Lytechinus pictus: one gene and its partner. The protein of the gene in region 1 purifies or fractionates together with the protein of each later gene. This does not show direct contact. Links are inferred from orthologs where the notes say so. Each region holds a gene or a part of one and is shown in the gene's direction. Other genes may lie near its edges. The genes, in order: vesicle transport protein USE1-like and RAD50-interacting protein 1-like.

What was found.
Region 2: the proteins of vesicle transport protein USE1-like (region 1) and RAD50-interacting protein 1-like purify together in Homo sapiens (co-immunoprecipitation; 3 studies listed by BioGRID and IntAct, counting the BioPlex papers as one, with this or other methods). This does not show direct contact. The link is inferred for Lytechinus pictus from reciprocal best matches to the Homo sapiens genes USE1 and RINT1.

Annotation. Positions count from the first base shown.
Region 1 is NC_087249.1:30,179,571-30,190,334, reverse strand, and holds the start of vesicle transport protein USE1-like, read left to right. Parts: upstream 1-6,369; 5' UTR 6,370-6,554; coding exon 6,555-6,653; intron 6,654-9,502; coding exon 9,503-9,552; intron 9,553-10,015; coding exon 10,016-10,094; intron 10,095-10,561; coding exon 10,562-10,723; intron 10,724-10,764.
Region 2 is NC_087254.1:36,488,753-36,499,362, reverse strand, and holds the start of RAD50-interacting protein 1-like, read left to right. Parts: upstream 1-6,337; 5' UTR 6,338-6,368; coding exon 6,369-6,536; intron 6,537-10,610. UniProt on the Homo sapiens protein: Involved in regulation of membrane traffic between the Golgi and the endoplasmic reticulum (ER); the function is proposed to depend on its association in the NRZ complex which is believed to play a role in SNARE assembly at the ER.

The DNA of each region.
Region 1 (10,764 bases):
TACACAATAATTAGTTTACCCAATGGACAGATTTTAACCAATAGTTGTGTGGACAGTAATGTTGCCCATGTTTTAAAAGTTGGGCATTTATTTTGCCCAACTATTTTAAGAGTGTAGAAGTTAGATGAGATGTTATGTATAAAACGTATTTTTTAAATCTCGAGATAGTTGATTGTGTGAACAAATCATTTTCAGTGGGTGTTGCCATGTACATATTACTGTAGGTTACTTTCAATATCTGTTGAATGAAATTCCCTATTATGATTTCATGGCCAATTAAAGATAACTCAATAAATGTTTACATATTTAATTGAATATGTTATGATAATATATTCAAATATAACAGTGAACAGATGAATTGTAAATGCTATCAGTAAGTGTTTTTTACTATGGTTTGTCAGAATGACAATAATCATGTTAGTTATTTAAATATGGTATATACTTAATTAATATTTGGAGGTACATGTAATGTGATTTGTATCATATATTTGTTTGTTTTTACATAATATTTTTAAGAAAGAAGTTTTGACTTTATAGACATATATATATATATATTTCCCGACAAAGGAAATTATAATTGGTATGGTGTCGAAAATCTGTCTATCTGACGGTCAATTGGATCGGTTACAGCCCGATAGACCGCGGGTCCGATAGACCGCGGGTCCGATAGCCCGCGGGTCCGATAGACCGCGGGTCCGATAGTCCGCGGGTCCGATAGACCGCGGGTCCGATAGACCGCGGGTCCGATAGTCCGCGGGTCCGATAGACCGCGGGTCCGATAGCCCGCGGTTTGTGTAAAAATAATGGTCAGGTTATATAGTGAGATCCAATGCCATCAAGAGGTCAAAAGGCCAATGATACGAGTCCATTGGGGTTCTATAACGATGACCCAAAGGACAATCGCCCCCTGAAATCTACTTCAAGGAAAATATTATCCCCATATTTTATCGTCAGGGACTGTTACCCCCCCCCCCCCCGGAAATTTACCCTCTAGACGCCATACGGAGCCATCGACTTGACGACATGGCGAGATACTTTATCTTGCCATGTCGACTAAATAATGGCGCGATACGTTATCCTGCCAAGTCAGTCCACTTATAAAAAGTTATATGTCAACATGGCGAGATATTTTATCTTGCCAAGTCGACTTAAATAAGTTACATGTCAACATAGCGATATATCGGGATTCTCGCCGGGGCTTGTACACTTCATATCTCGCCATGTGGACATATCGACTTGACAAGATAGAATATATCGCTATGTCAAAATAATAAGCGTATTAATTACTTAGGCGGCGGAAGCGGGGGGGGGGGCCTTTCCTCCTAAATTTGAGGTGGGGGACGGTCCCCCCTAGATTTTTAGTTGAGAACCTTTTTTTTGCTTGTCAATTTGTTTTCTACGTCCCCCCTAAATTGAGGTGGACCCCCCCTAAAATCTTTTTGTCCCCCTAATTTTGGTTTATAACCTTTTTTCTTGTCAAAAATTGTTCAAAATTGGTGGTCCTTCCTATAAATTTTGGTTGATTTGCTTGTCAATTTTTTTACCTGTGTCCATCCCAAAATTTCAGGTGGACCCCCCTAAATTTTTTTTGCCTTCCGCCGCCAATGATTAATTAAGACATGGCAAGATAAAGTACCACGCCATGTCGTCACGTTAATGGCATTTTCAAGGCTCCATACTAGGGGTAATTATCCGGGGTAATTATCTGGAGGGTAAATTTCCGGGGGGGGGGGGTATCAGTCCCCGCCGGTAAAAATATGGGGATAATATTTTCCTTGAAGTAGTTGTCAGGGGGTGATTGCCCTAATTGGGTTATTGTTATAGAACCCAGGCGCAGATCCAGGATTTCGTGGGGAGGGAGGGGGGGGGGGCACCAAGTTAAAAAAATAAATGAAATGGGGGGGGGGGTGGTAGACGTCAAAGAAAATCTGATATTTCATTCTTAAAAACAAATTGAGGTATCTCACAAGGCCTAAATAAATAATGAGAACGCGAAGCGCGATCTGATTTTTTTTGTATAGATTTATCATGTATTATATCCTGAAAGCCTAAGTCAGGGGCGGACCCAGCTTCCGCCATTAGGGGGAGGGGCCATTTTTTCACCCATATTTTCCCCGATCGGCCGCTCAAAGTTGATTTTTTTTTTTGTTTCTTTGAAGGGGTTGTCCCAGTGCCGTAATGAGCCAACAATTTCGAGGGGGATCGATATGGTGTATCGCATAAAATTAATAAGAAGTTGCCAGTGAGCGAAGCGAGCAAGCAAATATGCTGACATTTTTATTACAAAAACACAAGGTTGTGATAGATTTTGACATAATATTTGGAAAATAATATTATATTTCATCCTTATCCCTTTCCTTTTCTCTCTATTTTTTCTTAGTCTTGATTCTCTCTTCTTCTTTTTTTTTTTTTTGGGGGGGGGGGGGCAAAACACCCATGTCCTAACAGTCATTTCCTAGCTTTACTTTATAAGCAACATACATGTGTAATAATCTCTTAAGCCCTATGTAATCTAAAAATGAAATTTCATGTATTTTGTCCTGAAAATTGAACATTTTGGGCAATGTTTGTGAACCTGAACAGCGTATATAACTAGATAATTACCACGAGCGCGAAGCCGAGCAGAAATGTTAAATATTCGTTCTGGCCTGGTCGAAAAGGGACATGTTAAGGATGTTTTGCAGTTAGCCATTAAGACGATACATATTTCAACGATTAAATAATGCGAGCGCGAAGCGCGAGCTGAACATTTTTGATATTCCAACCTAAAAAGATGAGATTTCAAATCCCCCAATGGGACATTCGATTCATGTTTGTCAATCATGAAAAAGGATGGGTAATTTTTGGTATCTTCCTACAATAATAATGCGAGCGCAAAGCGCGAGCAAAATTTTTTTGATATTCTGATTCGAAACTGGATAATTTTAGCACGTTTTGAATAAGATCAAGCTTTGTATCCTAAAAACATGCGTGCGCGTGTTTTAGAGTTAGACAGAATCCTGGCAATCTGAATACATTTCATTTTTCATCATAAAAATCAATAATGCGAGCGCAGAGCCCGAGCTGAAAATAATATTTGAAATTCCGATATAAAAAGGGTCAATTTAAGCACTGTTTACAGCACTGTGTATATAGGGAAATTTGATAGCACTATAAAAATAATGCGAGCGCGAAGCGCGAGCTGATATTTTATTATTTATTTGACCTAGGATCGAGACATTTTAGGCCTAAGGACATTTTGTCATCATATAAGAATGATGACTATCTTCTCTTTGTTTTCCTAAAAATTTATTTCTGAAAAAGGGACAATTTAGTTATAATGAATTTATACAAATTTTATTTCATATTTATTAATCTGTTAAGCCTAATGAGTGTGTGAAATTTGTTGACAGTGCATGAGGCCTGAAAACTGGATATTTTAAGTATTTTTGTAATCATGAATAGGATTCATTGGTTGATATATTTTTAGCAAATAATGCGAGCGCAAATCGCGATCCGTATTTTTCTTTTAATGGGGGGATTTAAGTAGTTTGTTATAAAATTAATATATAGGTATACATAACTCACCAATCAAAACGCGAGCGCACAGCGCTAGCTCATAGGCCTTTATTATTATTATTTTTAATCGAGACACCTGAAAAGGTATATTTAGAGAATCTTATATTAAATATAAAAAGACAATACATAGGCCTACTTGGCATATAGTGCGAGCGCACAAAATGTTGCAAATGTTGATTCAAACCATAAAACGGACATTTTCCAGAGCACTTAAAACATAAATTGGTAAATAAGACAAAATAATGAAAGATCGATGTCCGAGCTGAATTATGTTTTGTATATTGATATCAAAACTTGATATTTTAAACTACATATCAGCCTATTGAGCTGTATTTATATACTGACTTAAGAAGGACTAAGGTATAATTCCTATTCTAATTGCTTGTCCTTTTCTCTTCCTTTTTTCTGTTTCTTACCCCTTTTTGCGCCACCATGGGGGGGGGGGCAAAATCTTTGCCCCCTGGATCGACCTATGTATGTTGACTTGAAAAACACTAACACTTACATGTGGGATTGAAGCAGAGGATGCATACCTCATTAATCAAATATTGCGAGCGCGTAGCGCGAGCTGAATTTGACAATAACCCTTTTTTGTGACCCTGAACAGGGTATCTATCTCGCTAAACAGACTTATAACTCGAAAACATTTTTTTTTCTGTTATCGTAAAAACGGGATATTTCAATTCAGCCGCATTAATTGAAGTTTTTTGGCAGGACATATATTTTACTATAAACAGGCAATGTTGCGTCCCCGGTCGAAAATGAATTTGCATGAAGCCCTCTAAGTTCAAGGTCAATTTGGCGCCCTCGGTTGAACATAAACTTGGCGCCCCCATCATGTGAAATATAACTTTGCCCTCCCTCCACTCTCTGAAACATGTATTTGTCGCATTATGGTCAAAATTCAAATTAGCGCTCCCCTAGTTCGAACATCAATTTGGTGCCCCGCTAGATCGAACATCAATTCGGCGCCCCATAGTTCGAACGTCATTTTGGCGCCATCAAATCGACGTCCAGGTCAACATCTCCCTCTTCCGTTTCCCATCTCCTTTTCTTTCTTTTTTCTTTCTTTTATCCTAATTCCCCTTCCTTCCTTTCTCTTTCTTTCTCTCTTTCTTTCCCCCTCTTCTTTTCCCCCCTTTCTTCTATTTCCCCCATCTTTTCTTTCCCCCTTTTCTTCTCTTTTTGCTGTCTTTTCTTTCCCTCTTTTCTTGTTTTTCCTCTCTTCCCACTTACTCTCGCTCTTTTTTCTTCTTCTTTTCCCCCTTTTCCTTACTCCGTTCTTTTCTTTTCCCTCTTCCACTTTTTTTCTCTTTTCCCCTTTACTTCTCCCTTTTTCTTTTTCTTTCCTTCTCCCTTTTTTCTCTTTTAATATTTTTTCTCCTCTCTCTCCCCTTCCTCCCTCTCTCTCTTTCTTCTCTTCTTTCCCTCTTCCTCTCTCTCTCTTTTTTCTTATCTTTCTTCCCATCTTCCTCTCTATTTAAATATTCTTCTCTTCGTTCCTCTTTTTTTTCTTCTTTTTCCTCCTTTTCCTTTCTCCTTTCTTTTCTTCTCTTCCTTTTCCCTCCTCTTTTTTCCCTCTTCTTTCCCCTTTTCTTCTCCCTTTTTTCTTTGTCTTTCCTTTCCCCTTTTTCTTCTCTTCCTTTCTCCTTCTTACTCTCTTTTCTATTCTCTTCTTTTCCCATCTTCCTCTTTCTTTTTTTATTCTCTCCCTTTTCCCCTCTTCGATCCCCCTCTTTTTTTTTAGCTGGGGGTGGGGGGGGGGGTGAGGCAGTTCCCCCTCGGCCCTCCATGGATCCGCACCTGATAGAACCCCATGGCCTCGTATCATTTGACCTTTGGACCTCTCGATAACATTTGATATATCTGATCATAATTTTACACACACTGCGGACTATCGGACCCGCGGACTATCGGACCCGCGGTCTATCGGACCCGCGGTCTATCGGACCCGCGGTCTAACGGACCCGCGGTCTATCGGACCCGCGGTCTATCGGGATGTCCCCATTGGATCGGGGTCTCCCTAGCCACTAACCCGTCTCTGTGGTCTAGTGGTTAAGGCACCGGCGTTCAAAGCTGGGGGCCCGGGTTCGATTCCCGGCAGAGACATTTTTTCGGCATCACCAATTTTTCCAAAAAGGGTAGATAGCTCTGGGGAACCTTGATTTAAGCTACGCCTACCATTGTTCTCTTCATCCATTTCTTTCACACAATATATATATATATATATATATAAATTCAATATTTTTTTTTTGCAATCATAGACTGATCAATCGATCCCTCCATCAGTGTACATGATGTTGTTGTTGTGGGTTTTTTTTCTCTGGTTTTATGTGTATGGTGTGGGGTTCCTGTCCCTCCGGATGATATATTTTGCTTAATTTCATTCATTCTGTACAAGTACTTTATGAATTTCATATTAAAAATCAGTTCAATGTAAAATATCATGATTAGCGATATGTACTTATGCATACTTACAGATACTACTTTTTATTTCCAAGTCAAATGAATGATAAAACAACTATGTATGTATATTTTTTGTTTGTATCATGTTACAAAAAAGTGATATTGTCTTGATGATGTATTGAAAGAATTCAATAAATAACAACTTAAAACAAAAAATATTGTTCTATCATCCGGCTGCCATATCCATTGTATTACTTCAAGTAACAGCTGTCATAAAAAATAAACTGAGGTGAACTTGACCACTATTATTATTTTTTTGTGTAATAATGCCCCCGTCCGAAATTTTAGAATTTTTTTTTCACGAGAGAAAATTAGGATTCCTTATAAATCACTAACTCTAATTTTAGAATCTTCATAAAAAATCAAGACAGAGATCGAGATTGAGAGATGTCTTCGAAATTGGTTGATAACTTCAGTGTCAGACGGGCGATGAGCAGAATATTAACATCACATTTGCGTCAGTTTTGTCCACGTCACTTATTTCTCATCTGATTGTAACGACACTAACGTTATCCTTTTTTATATCAAAGATGCCAGCTTCTCGTGAAGAAGTAAATTTCCAACGACTTTTAATAAGATGTGAAGAAATGGCTGCGGAAAATAGATCGGGGGATTGGCGCCTGGAAAAGGTAAGCCGATTTTGCGAATGCATCCATCGCCAGCGCTAACGTCAGTCTGGCCCGCACCGGCCCCGGCCCGGCTCGGCGCATGACGGGCCGGTAATCCTTACTGCGGCAGCCCGAACACTAACCCAGAGAGCTCCCGCTCTCTGGCCAGTCTGGGTTACCCGAACACGTATGGTAGTGGATCGTATTACCGAACACTTTTCATGAATTCAATCATATCAAGCACATTATTCTCATAAAATTCACCAAACTTTCACCATAAATACACAATTACCTACAAAATATAAATATGTAAAATTTTTGCCGAAATAGTTTTTCCTTTTTACGATTTTTGCTTCCAATCGGACCCCTCTTCGCATGTGAAATATTTTGGTCACTTGAAAAAGGTATCGTATTACCGAACGTGTGTTTTCTATGGGAAAAGTTGAGAAAACAACAAAATCACTGATGAGCTATTTTGACCATATTTTATTGTTTTTAGAATATTAAGACTTTGAAAATGTGTTTTTGACAATTTTTCATCATCTTTCTATTCAAGTTCTCTTTGGAAGGATGTTGCGAAATTTTGAATGTATGAATTTTTTTTCTGATGCGTATGAATGATGCGCGCGTTCGGTAATACAAGGCCGGTCGGTAATACAATCACTCACTATACTAAAGACGTCGTGTCGAGGTTCCCGGGGCAAGGTAATCCCGGTATGCTGCGCCGCCGAATCGGAATAGTCAGTCAGACTCACATACGGAAATGCCGCTGGAGAAGTTACCGGCCCAGAAAGGTCATCCTAGAATATATGACAGTCACTTTTCTAGACCAAAAGCTTCAGTCTCTGTAATACTGTATTTTGGTTGTTCCGCCGAACTGCGTTGGCTCACTTATCACCAATACATTTATAGTAAAATGTCAGAAATTGTTGAATAAATCCCCAGAAACGACGGTTATTCCTGTCTATCAGTATCAGTTTTATTTATCACTTTTCGTGCTATTGCCTATTGGCATTGCTAGGAAGGTGTGCATTCTTCCAATCCAAGGTCTAACAAGTTAGATCTAGACTAGACAGCTGGCAGCCGTCTGTTTCGAGGAGTTTTTGAACATTTTTTTTTTTTTTCTCGTGAGTGAAGCCAACGGAGTTCAGTGGAACAACCAACATAAGTATAACAGGGACCGAAGCTTTTGGTCTAGATCTAGACTAGACAGCAGCTGGCAGCCGTCTGTTTCGAGGAGTTTTTAAACATTAAAAAAAAAATTATCCTCGTACACAGACAGGTTGTACACAGATGGCTGAGTCACGATCGCGAGCCATGTGCAGCTGCCATTTGGGGGTTAACAATGCAAAATCCCTCCGATGGGGCTTATCAATTTTTGTCTTAATTTCATAAAAATATATAATAATAACTGGACCAAAATAAAGATTATTATTCCGTTTTGGCCTGAAATGCACCAAAACGGAAAAAAATAAACTTAAATTAATAAAATTCTACCACTACAGTACCATCAATATCAAAGTCCTTACCACTTGCTCACTGCAACCATCCTGCCTGTGGGGAATCTACAGGTAGGACTATGGTATGCCAATGCTGTACACAGCACACACTTTAAAAAATCATTAAAATGTCACTTTTGTGACCAAAATTACTATTCCATAAAGTTGCAATTTATTTTTCATTAGTAACCAGGGACTAATTTTTGTATTCACCAGAGCGCTCAAAAACTAAAATTTTGGGCACATTTTTGTGTACGCCCTCTATTGGTGGAAAGTAATATGGTAAGAAAATTTTCATTTTTCAATCTCTATTTTTAATTAAGAAAAAATAATTTAAAGAATCAAATTTACTTAAGAGCCAAGTTATATGATGAATAGCTGTAATGGAAACAGACAGTGTAAAAAAATCAAGCATTTGTCCCAAAGAAAAAGAGAAAATAAGCCAAACATTGCTACCCTTATTTTGCAACACATGGAGATGTAACTGAGAACAAGGTTATATCATAACCTTGTTCATTGAATGAGTGGTCCTTACATGCTTTACAAGAGGTCTAACACAAACAGTTAAATGGATGTATAATTCACAGAGCAAAATGCTGAAAATTTCATCAAAATCGGATAACAAATAATGAAGTTATTGAATTTTAAAGTTTATCAATATTTTGTGAAAACAGCTATATGCACATCGTCATGAATATTCATTAGGTAGGCTGATGATGTCACACTCACATCCCCACTTTCCTTTTTCTTATGTTACATGAAATCATAAATGTTTCATTTTTTTCATACATGTGTAAATGATGTGTCTCCATTATGATGAAATAAGTTGCGGCAATAAATAACTAATGCACTTAATCAGTTGTCAATCCAATTGATTGAGTTCTTGGTAGAAATTTTTTAAATAAATCTAATTCCATATAATAAAATACAAAAGAACAAGTGGGGATATGACATCATCAGCCCACCTAATGAATATTCATAAAGACATGCCTAGACCTGTTTCACCAGAATAATGCAAATCATTAAAATTCAATAAACTTTCTTATTTGTTATCCAATTTCGATCAAATTTTAAGCATTTTGCTTTGTGAATTTTACTCTATTTAGATATAAATATCTCAAGTCTGGACCATCCCTTTAAGTTTAATCAACTGCAGAAATGAATACAAATTAAATGCACAATATTTAAAGTTGAAGAAGCTTTGATTAAAATTTTGTTTGTTTCTGATGCAATGGCAATGCCAATGGTGATGTTTAAGAATTAAAATGATGCAGCTACTATAAACCAAGTTGACTCTTTCTAATCTAATTTCCACCCACTGATTTTGGATTAGGCTAATGTCTGTATAATCATTTTTATCTTTCTCCACAGTATGTCTGTGCACTACAAGATAAGCTAGCAGACTTGAAAAAATCTCAAATGTAAGTATATAAGCTACATGCATCTTAATCGTGGTATAATTGAAATAATTCATCTCGTCATGAAATTTTGAGTTTGGGAATTAATGATGAATATTCTTTTAATTTGTGGGGATTTTTTAACAGAACTTTGAGAAAATCGCATTCGACTTAAGATAGTAAAATGTACTTTTAATATCAAGTGCTTGAATGGGTAATTTATTTTTTTTTAATTGAGGGAGCCAAACTATTTTGGAATGAGAATTGTACAATAGCCTCTCGACAAACATTGCTTTTTTTTTCACCAGGCCTGGTAGTTTTACAAACTCTCTATCAGCCAGTCAGACACCAAGAATTCAACAGTTATAATTCTGTTATTAAAACAAGTTTCATAAAACGGGACAGTCAGGGACACTGGAGTTTATATTCTATGATTGTTAGAAATCCTAATCAGATCCTTTTGACCCTTTTGTGATATCATTAACAGGAAACCAGCTGCTGAACTGATGCAGGATTACAGTAAGAAGGTTGATTTTCTAAAAGAAGTTATTCAGATGGAAAAGTTGGTAAGGCCAAGACCTGTAATATAAAATACGCCCAAAGTGTGACATATACCACCTCAAAAAAAAAGAGATGTGACTTCGAAATTAAAAGAGTCGCCAATTGGTATCTTCATACTGCTTGAAGGATGAAGAAATAGAAGAATGTTGGGAAACATTCTAATATTGATGGACCTATTTTTCTTTACATTCAAAACAAATATTCACAGCTAGCTCAGCGTGGTTTTGAATGTATGGGGTGTCTTTCATTTGTTGGTTTAATTTCAGTGTGTTTCATGTCAGGGAAAACAATCCATGGGGGTCAAAATGCTCAAAGAAGCCCTGGAAACTACTATAAAAAAAAAAGGAGCCCTTGAAATTCCCATTCATTGCAGTGTTAAAGCTTAAATCCAATTTTGCAGATTTAGGCAGTAAGTTGTGAAAAGTAGCCCCTGTAAATTCAAAAACTGTTTTCTGCCTGTTTCATATTCTAGCCATCAGCCAGTGAGAAAGCTATGAAGACCCAGTTACTAGCTCCAGCGAAGACATCTGGTATCCAGCACCCCAACTCACCAACCGTGAAGAGATCCAAAGACCTTCATCAACAGCTGTCTTCAAGATATGCTAATGAGATGAGGAAAGAGCTACTAGGAGATGTGAGTACCCTTGGGGGGGGGGGGAGGGGGAAGGGGGGGTC
Region 2 (10,610 bases), on another chromosome or scaffold:
TTCATTGAAAAAACAATGAAAAACAAAGGGTCCAAAAAACAAAGAAATACATAAGAAATTGCAAAAAACAATATAGAAATTGATCTGATAACAGTTTTTTTCTTCTAAACTTGCTAAGAACACCACAAAGAGTTTCTATGCCAAAAATTAGAACATTTGGAGCTTTATTTATGGAGTTACAGGAAAAAATATGATTTTGCATCCTAATTATGCATAAATTAGCATAATTACTTAATAACAATTCGCATGAAACAAATTACTATACAATTTTGTAGATTATATCCCAGACAACCTGCGTGCCAATTTTCGGCGCGGTCGACGGCAGAGATCTCAACCCCCCCCCCCCCCCCCCCCGGCCATATGAACTCCCAAAATACCCCGGCCTAGATAGAGGGAGATGTTCGGATGAGATGGTGATGAAAAGGATGTTGAAGGTTGATGATGGTGGTGATTATGATGATGGTGATGAAAATGAAGGTGGTGGTGACGATAGAAAGAATAAGATTATTGTGATTAAAGTGATGAAGAACTTAAGAAGATGATGATGATGCAGATAAAGATGATGATGATGCTGCTGATAATAATGAACAAGAAAGAAAGAAGGATGACATAAATAGTACGTTGAAATTCATTATAGTCGGCAATTAGACTTTTCTGTACTAACCAGCTGTAATATAGAGTTATGCGAGTCAGAAAGCGGTACAATGATTGAAACTAGTGACCAAAATTCATATGTTCATCTCCAGAAGTTATTACATAACGTGATAATTCAAGTCATCAAAAAGTGAATATGTAAATAAGACGGTTTGAGGATTCGGTTTATTTTCATTTGATCCAATGCCAATTCATCCAATTGCTAACTCGTCTACTATGAGGAGTCCAGTAAGAATGAGTCACAATAGATAAACTGAACTTGTTCACAATGTAAACGGAAATTACGTGAGAAAAACAAATTTTTAATGCAGATGTATGTGCGTGTTATAGTATTAATATCACCTCACAATCCAAATTGTTAGCTTGAAAGTACGTATTACAATTTTTGATCATCATATGAGATCTTATTTCAAGTTAAAATGCCCTGCATGTACATGTATATGTCATGCGATTTATTCATTTTTTTTTAGATAGGCCTAAGTAGAAGTGATAAAAAGAGGAAATATCAGCATAAGAATGGCAACAAGTGGGGGTAAGGGGTAGACTTCATCCAATTTAGCTTGGCAAAATATTCAGTTCTGACAGAGCGAGTACCACTCAGACGAATGTGCCCCCCAACTTGTCAATTTTCCGCTGGATAGACATGGCAGGGGCGGATCCAGCTCTCACTGATAGGGGGGGGGGCGGCAGTTTTGTTTTCATGCATATTTTTATCAGTCACTTCTTGCTTTATTCTTATTTTTTTTAAATGAAATAATCTCATAAGCCCTATTAGATTTTTTTTTTAATCTCAAGTTTTGTCCTGAAAATTTAACATTCTGTGGAACTTGAATGTTTGTGATCCTGGGCAAGATGCGTATAGATTTAAGTGCGAGCGCCAAAGCGCGAGCGGAAATTCTTTCAACAATTAAAATAATGCCAGCGCGAGTTGAAAATTTCAACATTCCGACCTAAAAAAGGCCATTCCAACCTAAAAAAAGGCCATTCCAAGCACTTTGTAATCATGAAAGGTATAGGTCATGCATAACTAAACAATTAATGCGAGTGGAAGAAAATTGAGATTTTAGACCTAAAAACAGGACACTACGTTTTGTAAATCATAATTCCTCCATTAATAATGCGAGCATGAAGCGTGAGCAGAAAATCGCACATCGATCGATCAGAAATTTATCTTGACTCTTTAGACTTTTTTATTAGAGTAAAGCCCCCCCCCCCCCCCCCCAAAAAAAAGCCTTACTTTAATCTACAGGTACAAGTAATCAGGGGCGTAGCGGATCTGATCAGCTTCGAGCGCATGCGCTAGATACCGGTACACGTACCGTACGCTGCCCAATCGTCGCTCAGTTTACGTATTTTCCTTTATGTTTCATTCAATGAGCTACGATATGCTTACTTCCATATGTCATCTGAAAGCGAAAATACTGGAAAATCGTTTCATAGGATAATAATTATATGTCTTAGAAGCCCCGCTGCGTAATTCGCCGTTTTTGGCACCCCTTGCGCCTGCCCAATCGCCGCTCACCATTGCCCTAACTCCGCTCGCTTAGCGCGCGCATTCATACATGGTGTTAAGGCCTGATACTGTCTAACTCTTTTTTCTACCCTTTTCTCTTGCACTTCTGAGTGAGAAAGTGTGTAATTTTGTTCTGATTAAATGTATTGTATACAAGTTTTATAGTACTATACACTGTATAAAATGTTTCTTTCGCCAAGTGCAATTATTTTTAGGGCCTCAAAGTAACTTTTTGTTACTGATCTACGCCTTTATATCGGTTTTTTTTATCCTCCAAACTTTATTCCGTATTTTTTATAAAATACATATTTTCAAAAAACCTTTCCCGACAAACTTTTAACTGATTTCAATTGTCTAATAATATGAATATGATTCTAATCCATTCGTGAATTTTATGAGTATATTATTATTTATTTATTCATTTCGGAAATGAAAAGTATATGAAATTGGAACAATTAATGTAATACAACATTAACAGAGTATATAGATTGAGCACCCACTGGGTCAAATAAATTACTGTTGTCAATAAAGACCATGACCCTAACCAGTGCTATAATAAGGGTGCTTACAAAAAATCGGAAGCGGATAAAAGAGTCAGCATGAACAAAAATGTTTAAAGAACAATATATATAATAGAATAACATGCTTGATATAGTTAAGTTAACTTAATTAACTTAAAATATGAATATTGATGAATTTACATTCTTATAAATAAAACGCTATAAAACTCTTTTAGCACATTCGCCATTCAAAGTAATCATTTTCGCCACTCATCCAACTTGAGTGCCCCCCCCCCCCTTGTCGTCCCTTCCGCTCATCGCCCCCAGATGCCATTGGCCATTGATTTCCATTATTATTTTTTTTTTTTTGAAATAATTATTTGCATCCTCCTTCAGGTTCTAAATCAAATTTGTTGCTTTTACACTATCTTGACTCATTATTTATCAAGTATATATGTATTCGTGTATCCCACTTTTTTGTTTACTCTTTACTTTTTCTTGTCGTATTGATATTTTATGGGACTCTCACTGCATAATTCTTTGGAGCCTTCAACCAACAAGCTTTGCTTTTACTTTTAGCTCCCTCATATCCACATCTCTCATTTTCTTTCTTTGTCATAATTTTAGAACCAATTACAAGAATACATTCTAGTACTTTTTTCTATTGTTATATTATGTACACATTTCATATTTTTACGATGTTTATTTATGCTTATCTATGAAAACTTGTAGGCCTATTGTATAATATTATTGTTTGTATTGAATTGTTGATTTTTTGAAAATGTGAAATGTTGATGTGCATAAACCTTGAACCCTGAACTCCGATAATATTTTTGGGGGGATTCCCTTATATTGACTTTCATTAAAAAAAAGCTCATCTTGAAAAACAACAATAAATATTTAATCACCTCGCTGGTTTAAGTTCATATTCGAACTTCCGTCAATAATAGGAGAGGGAAAAAGGCACTCAAAAAAATTATATTTGTTCAAAATAAATTGGTCAATTTAAATCCTGTTCCGTTTTCAAACAAAACACAATTAAAAAAAGGAAATCTCCAGAAACATGACAAAGTTTCATCTATTCAAATCAATCAGGAAACTACTGACCGAGTTCAAAAGGCCTATATATAGGCCCATTAGTGGGAGATTTTTTCTTATTTATTCATTTAAATTCTTTATTTTATTTAGATTTATAGATATGAATCAGATAGGCATGCAGATAATGCATATGGGCCTACCATAAAATATATGTATCATTAGGCTCATAAGTTATCACATATAGGCCTAATTACACATCTATTTCCATCATTCCAATTAAATTATCCCTAAATGTCATACTCTGAGTAAATAATATTGGTAATCATCAAAATATGAATACGCCACATAAAAAAAACAGTATTACGATCGATAATAGCCTAGAAGACATGCCAGCCTGCCAGGGGCCGCGGAACCGGGGGAGGGGCTTCACCCCAGAACAAAAAAAAAAACTATCCCTATATCTCTAAGTTGTTTGTACGTCGGTATTTAGTGATAAACATCGAAGTCTCATTTTTTAGCATTGATGACCCTACGATTCGTTATAGAGCAAGATAATTTTTGTAAAACTTTTTCCCAAACACTTTGGGCCGGGACAATGATTACAATTAAATCTCGAAATATTTCTGGTGAACAGTGACAAACTCTTTTGATCATCTTTCAACATTTCTGTAAACGTCAGCTTATCTGCCTGCTCCATGATAAATCGTTGACGACCGAGGGGCTTTTATTTGCCGTCACCCTCAGCTAAAGGGAGAGAGAGGGGGAGATAGAGAAGAAATCATAGGAGAAGTGAGAGAGGAAAATGTAAAAGAGTATAAAGAAGAAAAAATGGCCGCGTCGCAAAAAAGACAACGGAAGAGGTATCAATCAAGGCCGGAATAGGAAAATAATGAAATGAAAAAAAAAAGATTAAGAGGAAGGAAAATAAAAGGAAGAAGACAAGACGAAAATGAGAGTTGGGGGACCGACAAATACCTGTCCCCTTCATTTAGAACAAAATAACTATTCAGCCTGCGCTTCGCACCCGCATTGCCCGTTTGTTTCATTATTCATGTCTTGTTTTCAAGTCATTCTCGGTTTGTAACATAAAACATCATTACAAAAGTGCTTAAAATGTCTCGGTTTTTTCTCTGAATCAGGGGCGGAAATCTCTCCCAAAAAGTAGGGGGGGGGGGGGCAAGGGGCTGGAAAATTTGACAAGCAAAAAATTATGAATTATGACCTGAAATAAATTCAGACATTCCTACATTGTTTACACTTAATTTTCATCTCATATTAAATTCACGAGTTGAATTAGTAGAGTAATCAGGCGTTACCATGGCAACATACCATTATCATGCATTCAAATGAACTTATATCCATGCAGAACACTCTGTTGTTTTCGATATTTAAGTCAAACCTACATAGATTTTGGCATTTTCATTGTCATTTTCCACCATTCATCTTTTCCCACCATAATGTTGATTTATGATGGCAATTCAATAAATGCCCCCAACGTCATTGGCCAAAGTTCCGTCATTGACCTTAAATTACCTTTGACCGTGGCATGACCTGAAACTCACTATAGGATTTTCACTGACTCCCTTATTTCGAAGTTTCATGATAGCTATAAAAACCTGTAGGCCTATTTCAAACTTATGATTACATTTCACAAACTTATCCTGTTTTAAGATTTCAATGTTTACGACGCCGCCCGCGCGGCGCCGTCGGAAAAAGCGGCGCTCTGCATGTCTCTGCAGGCAATCAAGACAATTGTATTTTTCTGCGGGAAAGATAAGCCGTTACCATGGCAATGTATCTTTTGCAAATACTTTGATGACTTGATAGGCCTATATCTAGAAATTGAATTTGGAAGGCTTAAGAATGATAGATTGGACCATTTAAATTGACAGGGTAATGTGCCATATATATAGGATCAACTTTTTTTTTAAACATATTAATCAGTTGCCATGGCAACGGCGGAAGGAGGCATTTATGAAACTGGCAACAAGCGGATTCATGTTCAGCACCATCAAAATAGAGGAAATGACACAAAAAATCAGATTTTAAAGAAAAGTCTACTTGAAAAATTATGACAATTCCGTTTAGGCCCTATACTCTTACAATGATTATCATACACAATCAGGGTGAGCGGAGTTAGGGCAGGCTGCTATCTCAAGGTATGCCCTCGCTAATTCATTCACACAACAAATATTCATTCTAGAAAAAATTGTCATGACGACATATCAGGACCTCCCGCACCTACGAATCTCACATTTTCATTCATCATATAAGAATATAACATTTTTCACTGTTTTTAGGAGTTTTTAAAGTGATTGAAAAAAAACGTAATTTGGTGCAGTTGCGGTACAGTTGATCGAAGTTCAAACAGTTATCGGGTTACTTTACATTTAAAGCAGTATTTCACGATGATTTATTAAGGGATTGATTTTATTTTTCCACACTTTGTTTTTTCATGTAATGGTCTCCTCTTGGGTGCTTAATTATGCGAGTATACTAAACTATAAGGAATTTGGGACGAATTTAAAATGATAATCATAATAAGCAGCGTGCGCATCGCGCTTGTGAGGGTGAGCGAGAATTGGGCAGCGTACGGTACGTACGTACGTACGTACACGTAAAAAAAAAAAAAAAAAAAAGGATGAAGAAAAAACTTTGCGACGATGGCTGAGAAGGGACCACATCAAGAATCGGGCTCATCATTGCCTGGATATTCGGATGAAATACGTCGAATGATTGATATGCAGATAGGAAATGATATCAAAAAGCTCTCTGTTACCGAAGATATGCTTAAGGATGCACTTGAGGAAAAGGCAAGGATAGAACAAGAGGTAAATTGTTCAGATCTGTTTATACCTTAGACTGTAGTCCCACACCCTCGCATTGACGTAGGATAGCCTAGTCAGGAGCCGGAGCACTCGTCAAGTCAATCTAACCCAGGGGCATGGCCAGGCTAGCCAGGCGGCTTCTAGAGAGTAAAAATCATTTACTAACGTAAGGTTACTCTCATACGAAGCCAGGCATTCCTCCCCATTCATCTGCGTGTACTGCAAAAAACCCTGAAACTTTCGCCCCCAAGATTTCTACTTTCCTTCTAAAAGATCTAGGGCCTAGCTCTAAATCATGTAAATGGGATAAAACTTCATTTCCGACATTTCTACGCTCTCGTTGTTATTTAGAAAACAAGAATTCATCAAAAAAATGAAAAAATATGGCATAATTGTACTTGATGCCCCCAGGGGACATCAACGTTTTTACCTTTTGGTACTCCTTGATTTCCCGATGATTCTTCGTTACCAAAATGTAAACATTTCTTTTCTCACTATAAAAAAAAATAGAAAGTAGTTCTGGTTTGCGCTAGCGCACCCCATATGAGATGCGAGTACAAATGCGCAAACAGGTGCATCTAGATGAGCGCGCATCCTTGCCTCCTCATCTATCCTCTTATATTACTTGCACTTGATGCCCCCAAAATTGATGAAAGCAGTGATCCGGCGAGTAATCCTAGAAGTGTTGACAAAATTAACCTTGATAGCTAGAGAATAAACTCTCTATTATTACTTGTACTTGATGCCCCCAAGTTTTCCAGTTATTCAGCACGTTTATTCAGAAGTTTACATTCCACTAACCCCATTTCCCCTCTTTTTCTATTTTCTAGCCGCGCAAGCCTTCATAACATCGTCGAAACGAATTAACCTTGTTGGCTAAATTAACCTTGATAGCTAGAGAATAATCTCTCTATTATTACTTGTACTTGATGCCCCCAAAAATTTCAACAAAATTAACCTTGTAGCCAAAATTAACCTTGTTGGCAAAATTAACCTTGAGAGCTAATGTAACCTTGAGAGCTATAGCTTGTCTCTCTTATATTACTTGCACTTGATGCCCCCAAAATTTCAACAAAATTAACCTTGTAGCCAAAATTAACCTTGTTGGCAAAATTAACCTTGATAGCTAATGTAACCTTGAGAGCTAAAGCTCGTCTCTCTTATATTACTTGTACTTGATGCCCCCAAAAATTTCAACAAAATTAACCTTGTAGCCAAAATTAACCTTGTTGGCAAAATTAACCTTGATAGCTAATGTAACCTTGAGAGCTATAGCTCGTCTCTCTTATATTACTTGCACTTGATGCCCCCAAAAATTTCAACAAAATTAACCTTGTAGCCAAAATTAACCTCGTTGGCAAAATTAACCTTGATAGCTAATGTAACCTTGAGAGCTATAGCTCGTCTCTCTTATATTACTTGTACTTGATGCCCCCAAAAATTTCAACAAAATTAACCTTGTAGCCAAAATTAACCTTGTTGGCAAAATTAACCTTGATAGCTAATGTAACCTTGAGAGCTAAAGCTCGTCTCTCTTATATTACTTGTACTTGATGCCCCCAAAAATCTCAACAAAATTAACCTTGTAGCCAAAATTAACCTTGTTGGCAAAATTAACCTTGATAGCTAATGTAACCTTGAGAGCTAAAGCTCGTCTCTCTTATATTACTTGTACTTGATGCCCCCAATTACTTTATTTGTTGCGCGATCAACCGAACCACGCGCGGATGGATATCAACTCGCCGATGATAAACAGGGTCAGGTCGAGGATCCACGAATCAAGGTAAAAAAGTTGATGTCCCCTGGGGGCATCAAGTATCCTTGCCTCCTCATGAACGTTTTTACCTTTTGGTACTCCTTGATTTCCCGATGATTCTTCGTTACAAAAATGTAAACATTTCTTTTCTCACTATAAAAAAAAATAGAAAGTAGTTCTGGTTTGCGCTAGCGCACCCCATATGAGATGCGAGTACAAATGCGCAAACAGGTGCATCTAGATGAGCGCGCATCCTTGCCTCCTCATCTATCCTCTTATATTACTTGCACTTGATGCCCCCAAAATTGATGAAAGCAGTGATCCGGCGAGTAATCCTAGAAGTGTTGACAAAATTAACCTTGATAGCTAGAGAATAAACTCTCTATTATTACTTGTACTTGATGCCCCCAAGTTTTCCAGTTATTCAGCACGTTTATTCAGAAGTTTACATTCCACTAACCCCATTTCCCCTCTTTTTCTATTTTCTAGCCGCGCAAGCCTTCATAACATCGTCGAAACGAATTAACCTTGTTGGCTAAATTAACCTTGATAGCTAGAGAATAATCTCTCTATTATTACTTGTACTTGATGCCCCCAAAAATTTCAACAAAATTAACCTTGTAGCCAAAATTAACCTTGTTGGCAAAATTAACCTTGAGAGCTAATGTAACCTTGAGAGCTATAGCTCGTCTCTCTTATATTACTTGCACTTGATGCCCCCAAAATTTCAACAAAATTAACCTTGTAGCCAAAATTAACCTTGTTGGCAAAATTAACCTTGATAGCTAATGTAACCTTGAGAGCTAAAGCTCGTCTCTCTTATATTACTTGTACTTGATGCCCCCAAAAATTTCAACAAAATTAACCTTGTAGCCAAAATTAACCTTGTTGGCAAAATTAACCTTGATAGCTAATGTAACCTTGAGAGCTATAGCTCGTCTCTCTTATATTACTTGCACTTGATGCCCCCAAAAATTTCAACAAAATTAACCTTGTAGCCAAAATTAACCTCGTTGGCAAAATTAACCTTGATAGCTAATGTAACCTTGAGAGCTATAGCTCGTCTCTCTTATATTACTTGTACTTGATGCCCCCAAAAATTTCAACAAAATTAACCTTGTAGCCAAAATTAACCTTGTTGGCAAAATTAACCTTGATAGCTAATGTAACCTTGAGAGCTAAAGCTCGTCTCTCTTATATTACTTGTACTTGATGCCCCCAAAAATCTCAACAAAATTAACCTTGTAGCCAAAATTAACCTTGTTGGCAAAATTAACCTTGATAGCTAATGTAACCTTGAGAGCTAAAGCTCGTCTCTCTTATATTACTTGTACTTGATGCCCCCAATTACTTTATTTGTTGCGCGATCAACCGAACCACGCGCGGATGGATATCAACTCGCCGATGATAAACAGGGTCGGGTCGAGGATCCACGAATCAAGGTAAAAAAGTTGATGTCCCCTGGGGGCATCAAGTATCCTTGCCTCCTCATGAACGTTTTTACCTTTTGGTACTCCTTGATTTCCCGATGATTCTTCGTTACCAAAATGTAAACATTTCTTTTCTCACTATAAAAAAAAATAGAAAGTAGTTCTGGTTTGCGCTAGCGCACCCCATATGAGATGCGAGTACAAATGCGCAAACAGGTGCATCTAGATGAGCGCGCATCCTTGCCTCCTCATCTATCCTCTTATATTACTTGCACTTGATGCCCCCAAAATTGATGAAAGCAGTGATCCGGCGAGTAATCCTAGAAGTGTTGACAAAATTAACCTTGATAGCTAGAGAATAAACTCTCTATTATTACTTGTACTTGATGCCCCCAAGTTTTCCAGTTATTCAGCACGTTTATTCAGAAGTTTACATTCCACTAACCCCATTTCCCCTCTTTTTCTATTTTCTAGCCGCGCAAGGCTTCATAACATCGTCGAAACGAATTAACCTTGTTGGCTAAATTAACCTTGATAGCTAGAGAATAATCTCTCTATTATTACTTGTACTTGATGCCCCCAAAAATTTCAACAAAATTAACCTTGTAGCCAAAATTAACCTTGTTGGCAAAATTAACCTTGAGAGCTAATGTAACCTTGAGAGCTATAGCTCGTCTCTCTTATATTACTTGCACTTGATGCCCCCAAAATTTCAACAAAATTAACCTTGTAGCCAAAATTAACCTTGTTGGCAAAATTAACCTTGATAGCTAATGTAACCTTGAGAGCTAAAGCTCGTCTCTCTTATATTACTTGTACTTGATGCCCCCAAAAATTTCAACAAAATTAACCTTGTAGCCAAAATTAACCTTGTTGGCAAAATTAACCTTG